Kluyveromyces lactis: one gene and its partner. The protein of the gene in region 1 interacts with the protein of each later gene in a pairwise test. Links are inferred from orthologs where the notes say so. Each region holds a gene or a part of one and is shown on either strand. Other genes may lie near its edges.

What was found.
Region 2: the proteins of BEM3 (region 1) and KSS1 interact in a protein complementation assay, tested with the Saccharomyces cerevisiae proteins (2 studies listed by BioGRID, with this or other methods). The link is inferred for Kluyveromyces lactis from reciprocal best matches to the Saccharomyces cerevisiae genes BEM3 and KSS1.

What each region holds. Positions count from the first base shown.
Region 1 is NC_006042.1:69,256-73,343, reverse strand, and holds the start of BEM3 (GTPase-activating protein BEM3), read right to left. Parts: upstream 2,809-4,088; coding exon 1-2,808. Other genes in the region: KLLA0_F00792g (glyoxylate reductase), read right to left, coding at 3,558-4,088. UniProt on the Saccharomyces cerevisiae protein: GTPase-activating protein (GAP) for CDC42 and less efficiently for RHO1. Negative regulator of the pheromone-response pathway through the STE20 protein kinase.
Region 2 is NC_006037.1:217,055-220,200, forward strand, and holds KSS1 (mitogen-activated serine/threonine-protein kinase KSS1), read left to right. Parts: upstream 1-1,537; coding exon 1,538-2,626; downstream 2,627-3,146. Other genes in the region: KLLA0_A02475g (FAD-dependent oxidoreductase), read right to left, coding at 1-633; LUG1 (Lug1p), read left to right, coding at 3,092-3,146. UniProt on the Saccharomyces cerevisiae protein: Together with closely related FUS3, KSS1 is the final kinase in the signal transduction cascade regulating activation/repression of the mating and filamentation pathways, induced by pheromone and nitrogen/carbon limitation, respectively.

The DNA of each region.
Region 1 (4,088 bases):
GTACATGTCATCACCGAATATTAGATGAGGCAACCTTCTGAAATATAATTTTAAAAGTCCCGCAACCGTATTGACATCTAGATAGGGACCATTCTTCAAACTGCCCTCATGTGAAGCGTTGTATTCGCATAAATTTACATCATATTCTTTATCAAATTGTTCTTGGAGGGTTTTTATCAAAGCACTTGATCCACTTAATCTAAATATACCTTCTTCATTTATGGCTCTGTTCTTATACAAATATTCCAAACATCTGTAAACAACGGTTGGTATCTCGTGAGTGTTTTGGTATACTCTAGAACTCAAGCTTAGGCAGTGTTTGATGTCGGATCCAAATACAACATTGGAAATTGCCTCATCATGTAGGTTCATGCCATGGAGAGCACTAGCAAAAGACCTTTCAGCAGATGTTTCGTCCGATTCTTTAGTAATATCTAAGGAAGAAGTTGAAAGCTGAGGTTGATTTTTCTTGAATGGGAAAAAGGACCTCATTCTATTCCTTTTGGTTTCCCTATCCATTTCAGTTGTTGCAGGTTCGACTTGTTGAGATTTACCAAGCATTTCGAGGTTAACCATTGGTCCAATCGCAGCACTGCTGCTTGTATCTACCGATGCATCGCTGATACTTCCTTGATCTTGGGCAGAAGAAAGAGTATCTGCTTTGATATTTGCAACGGAGTTGCTGCAAACTTTTATAAGAGCGCTGATCCATTCTTCTCGTTGTTTGGCGGTTTCAGCGCCAAAATAATGCCTGGATGTGCTAGAAAGACCGCTCTTCTTTGGTTCATTCAAAATAAACCCATTTTTAGTGCCGTACTTATCATCAGGTAAATTCGCTTGTAATTCAATTGTACTACTTACCAACTTGATGCTCTCCACTAGATTTTCTTGATCGAATAATAACAAAGTTTGATCCTCAATTACAGCTTGTCGTACTTTCCAAGAATTACCGCTACCCAACGCCTTATTTTTGCGTACCAAAAGTACCCCTTCTTTTACGCTGTCAGTCATTCCAATTGGTACGGAGATTGCGGTATCTGTACTAATAAATTGTGCAAGTTTTAGAGACATCACTGGTGATAGGTTACTAAGTTCAAAGAGTGCTAATAAATAATCTGTTAATAACTCCCTTCTCAAATCGACTTTAACAGGAACAGTAGTCTGAAATAGTTGCTTTTTAGGTAGTTCCGGGAGATGATATTGCTCCATGAGCCTTATTTTCAACATATGGTCAAGCTCGTATAACTGGTCCAGAGATTTCGCAAACTTGAACATCTCTTTAGATGATTTCTTATCAATGACACTGCAGAGTATACACTTGCTTGCATCCTCAGGATTACTGTACAAAGTGCTAGAAGCTTCGACAGCTATTGTTGAAAAGTCTTCTGGTTGTACAAATAGAGGTATATCAGATATGATGTTGGGTGAGTGTAAAACACTGTCGGATTGCGGTACTTCTCCATTATAAGGAGAACCCATGTCAATTGATGAAGTGTGGTGATTTGGTGGTTGGATACGAGAAAGTGAGGAGACAGATTTGGGTGAAAAAGATTTATGGATTGAGGTGCTTGAAGAAATCGCTGAGACGTTATCTTGTGAGACAATTTTCAGTAAGTCATGAGTAGAAATGTCAGTTTTCTGCGGAAAGGAAAGCCCAGAAGGTGTTAAATTATTTGCTGCGTTTTGAATCATAACAGGAGAAGCTAGTACTTTTGAATCGGCCCTAGGAAGCGGCGGATCGAATACAGGTGGTCTTACTGCAGCTGCAGATTCCTTTTCGGGGGGTCCTTTGATTTGGCTATCATCGTCCCCAAAGGTCTTATTGATCAAGTCAGTAAATTTATTCAAATTCTGCTTGGATGAAGGAGAGAACTCCATAATTGTCTCATCCTCTTTGATGATTCTTTGGGCTGCTGGAGACATTTGTATAAAGCTCCCTGTGATATCATCGCCAGACGTGGAAGCGGTATCATCAACGAAATCTTTATCTACATCTGAAAACTGGTCTTTTAATGGAGAATGAAGTTCATTGTTAATCAAGTGTGTGACACGATTTGCTCGCTGGGGAGATAAAGCTCCATTTGGTAAAGTTGCTGGTGACTTGGGTCTTTTCAAATGGGGTTTATTGTTGATATTCGGTGAATTGGAATTTATCGATATTCGAGATGTGGTATAAGTCACGGAAGTAGCTGGACTTCCTAGAATATTATTTGGTATCCCTGTCGTTGCTAAACTATCTTTTCCCGCATCTTGGGGATCCTTTTTGGTACTAGCAGTTGCCGGCGTCGACTCGTACGCATGATCATTTTTCAATGCTTTTTCGAACTGAGTGTTTGTCTTTAATTCTTCCTGGAAATTTTGGTTATTTAATTGGAAGGTGGCAGGGGACCTAGGCAGCTTTAGATCGTAGACGTTGACCTGACTCTGTTCAGAAGTGTCCTTCATATGTCTTATTCTATCTGCTGATCTTGGTGGTAACGAAAATGTGGGATCTTTCGGGGTTTCTACTTCTAATCGCTGTTGTTCATAATTTACTACAGGTACAGCATTCTCTTTGAGTTTAGATATCAGTTCCTTTAACAGTTTGATTTCCTTTTCGTATTCTTCGACTTTAAGCCTCAATTTCACGTTCTCTTTAAAACATTCGTCGTAACTAGGTCCTGTTTCGCGATCTTTCGTAAACCTCGAGTCACCTTTTTCTATGTAATCTAAATTTCTGTCTTTCTCCTGAATATGATTCTCATATTGCTCCAAAAGCTTTAAAGTCGATGATGTAGTTTCTTTAAGGGAGTCATTAAATTGCTCCATCTTCAATGATACAAAGACCTGACGATGAGGATTCAATGCGATAGAGTCAGAGAAAGAGCTGTTTCTGCCCACCGTATTGTCCTGATGGTCTAAATTGTGAAAAGATTGGGTATACTCTTAAAGATAAAACGATATCCTCAAGCTCTTCATATATTGTACCCCAAACTTTACCAGCAAAATCTAAAATTGAAGAATATATCACTCCGTAGACCTCAGATACTGATACTAGGTACTGTTTGATAAATAGGGTTCAAGTTATCACGACGCTATTTGAATGATAAACACGTTACGATATTAAAGTAGCTTTTATGAAAAATATTCTTTGATACGCGATATTCAATTTTTCACGGTTTCTAAAATTTAATGTCCTTGACATAAAAGGGAAGCCGAAGGGAAGACGGCTTGTAACGCGTTTAGTGACTTCTGTCAGAGATGGATATATTACGAGTTGGCGGTAATAATGAGTTGGATCTTTTGTAGATGTTATAATCGACCAGCCAACAGTCTCTGTTCTTAGAAAGAACGCCTGCTGGGAGCAGTTAATTAATGAATGTTGATCCCCGCCTTGGATTATGTAATGCAGTATATATTCGGATTTATTATTATTTAACGAGTAGGCCTTCAAAACTCAAAGAGTGGTTGATATCAAGGTGGTTATGCAGTATCAATACACTTTTCATCTCATTTTAGTAATATTTCCATCATTGTTAGCCAACATTTCCAGCGCCAGTTTGAAGATATTCAGAACATTAGTTAACTGGGTATTTTGTGCCAGTTCCTTTCAAGAAGAATCCTTCAATATTCTCTAACGTGGCAGCAGTCTGCCTTTGGAGTATTTCTATGACTGTGGAGCCAATATGTGGAAGTAAGGTAATATCCCATCTTTCGAAGAATCTTGAATCCACAACGTCCGATTCATTTTTGTAGACGTCAAGGCCAGCTGACATGACCTTCCCACTATCCAATGCATCTAATAAATCATCTTCGTTAATACAAGATCCACGACCAACGTTGACGATACGCACACCGTCTTTACATTTTTCCAATGTAGTCTTATCAATAATATCTTCTGTGTCTGGAGTTCCAGGTAATGCTAGTACTATAAGATCAGCGTCTCTCCAGAACGCTTCATCATCCATGGATGGTATATAATTAGCCTTATATCCTAGAACAGATTCTGGGATAGGGCCATTTCTTTTTGTGTATGATATATTCATGTTAAAAGTTGTATGCAATTTTTTACCAATAGCTTGGCCAATGGAACCAAAACCAACAATCAA
Region 2 (3,146 bases), on another chromosome or scaffold:
AGTACAATTGAAGACAACGTGAGTACCGTTATCAGTTTTAGAAGCTTTGTTGGCAAACGATTTTGCTTGTGCGATATGAGTCAACTTTTGCTTCAAGAAACGCACATTATGCTTCTGTTTCAAGAAGTTAGCCAAGTTTACTATGAATACTGGACAATTGAAGTTCCATGAGTTGAAAGCGATACCAAATTGGGCTCCCTCAGGTTTGAATTTTGCAAGTTCTTCCTTCGATAGGACCTTATACTCTTCCAAATATTGGCTCAAGGAATTAATCTTGGCCTTGGGAGGCTGGTAATCCCATAATTCCGTGGATGGTCTGCGAGCTAATCCTAACCACTCTGCATCTTTACCCTTGTAGAAATCCAGTAATTTTTCACTTAAAGTAGGTAAATTCTCATACGTGAACCTATCATACCACATGACGTTTTTATCATCAGGTGAAATACAAGACCAAACACCACCTGCCCATGGACTAGTATAACCAGTGGGTGACTGGTCACCTGGTAAGTAATCTGCCACAATGCAGATATTTTCACCCGGAACGCCGTACAATTCGGTCAAACAGTACGTGACGTACAAACCAGAAATACCTGCACCAACAACAGTGATCAATGGCTGAGATTTGTTAGACATGTCATTTGATAATTTCAGGCTCAAATAAAGCTTACTGATGAAATTGTGACTTTCACCGCTATAGATATATTCAGTAGATGTTTTACTCTACTATAGAAACTGGGAATGCTCAAGTAAGTGATCTGCCAATTGGCTGTTTCCTACTTCAAACTGAAACTAGGTTGGAAAACTTTACTGAGGAAAGAGAATCTCAATCCCATGTCCCTTCACTTATGTATGTTACCGATGACAAACCATGCTATTCTGACAAACGCGCTGCCTCGACCCCACCTATCTTAGATATCACTTCCAGCTCATTTACAGTCAAGTCATGTTGCCTTCTCTCGAGGAACTACCATTTAAGGTAACTCGAAAAATCTGTAAATCCACGTTGCGGTCTTAGCTATTCCCTTATCAATTCTCTGTTAACTTTAACTATGACTTTCAGTTCACCTATCGGGAAATGAGTTCCGCAGATTTACCCGCATGGATCCAATTTATGCTCAGTCGCAGTGGTAACAACCGACAGAACATGTGTGAAACTGCACTTTCTTGAACGGTGAAGCGCATTGCGGTATGTCCGAGCAGTGATGTGTATTATAAGTCACATGACTGACACCGGGGTAACATTTTTTCAGGTTTCGAGATTGGATGGAATGTTCACCAACATGAAACAAAGATTCAAGGACGAAACATTCTTTATCTGGACGACATGGAACGTCGCGCATTGTGTCAACTCAATGGGATACTTAAGGCGCCGAGTCAACGCTCGGGAATGACGATAAAGGATTCCCATCCAGAGTTTTGCAATTGGACGCTATAGGTATATATAATATTTAATCCTTAGTGGGGGGAAACTAAATCTATAATAGTGGAATAGCAGAGATCATTATAACAAGCAAACCGGAGATCTAACAGCATAGAGATGCCACGAACAATCACGTATGATATCCCATCCCATTATCAACTAGTAGATCTGGTTGGTGAGGGAGCATATGGTACAGTTTGCTCTGCGATACATAAGCCAACAAACACGAAAGTTGCAATTAAAAAGATACAGCCGTTTAGCAGATCGATGTTTGTTACCAGGACGTTACGGGAGTTGAAACTGTTGAAATTCTTTCATTCGCATGAAAATATCATATCGGTCTTGGATATAGTACGTCCGACGTCATGGCATAAATTTGAAGCAGTTTATCTTGTACAAGAGTTGATGGAAACGGATTTGCAGAAGATTATCAACCAACAAAATTTATCAGAGGATCATATCCAATATTTCGTTTATCAAATACTAAGGGCTTTAAAATCGCTACATTCGGCACAAGTAATCCATAGGGATTTGAAACCAAGTAATTTGTTACTGAATAGCAATTGTGATCTCAAAGTGTGTGATTTTGGGTTGGCTCGTTGCCTGGCATCGAGTGATCAATCAAGAGAGAATATGGTGGGTTTCATGACAGAATATGTAGCTACCAGATGGTATAGGGCTCCAGAAATCATGTTGTCCTTCCAAGAATACACAACTGCAATGGATATCTGGTCATGTGGATGTATACTAGCAGAAATGATCATGGGTAAGCCGCTTTTCCCAGGTAAAGATTACCACCATCAACTCTGGATCATCTTAGAAGTTTTAGGGTCTCCAACTTTGGAAGACTTTGAACAAATCAAGAGTAAAAGGGCAAAAGAATACATATCTCAACTACCCATGAAGAAAGGTATACCCTGGGCTAATGTGTTAAATAAAGAAGTTAACCCTCTTGCTATCGATTTATTGTCCAAGATGCTAACTTTCAACCCAGACAAGAGGATCAGTGCAGTTGAAGCGTTGGAACATCCATATTTGGCAACATATCATGATCCAGATGACGAGCCAGATTATCCCCAACTAAACCTTGAAGACAATTTTTGGAAAATTGACAACGAGGCCCGCGATAAAAACGAGGAAGACGATATTCCACTGGAACTGTTGAAAAAGATGCTTTATGGTGAAGTTATGAAGCCTCTAAATTGATATGTTCGATATTCTATGAACTAAAAAAAAACTATCCGCATAGTCTTTGAATGAATGTACTGAGACTCAAGGATTTTACGTTTCATGGGTACTTCTCATTAGGACGCCTAGTCTGTCAAATTGAGGAAAAGTAATACAAGAATTCTCATACTCATATTAGACAATCATATAGTTAATTACATAACTAAGTAAAGCTACGAATAACCACATCACGTTTTTCATACTCTTTGATCCCTTATGAACCTTAAGTGTACTTTATGCCCTGAAATGAAAAATAAAGTAGCGATATAATTAGAATGAACAAGAACTTGAACAAAAGACCCGCATCAATAGAAGAAAAAATGAAAACCAAAGTGGATCTTAAAGAAATCATCAAGAGCACCAAAACAGGTGCAAATAGCTTTAAGGATTGGTGAAGTGTATAAAACGTGTTATTCGGGGCTCGCATATCATAATTCGTTCAATATGATCAGTGAAACATCGACGATGCGGTTACCTTCAGAGATAGTCTATGAAATCT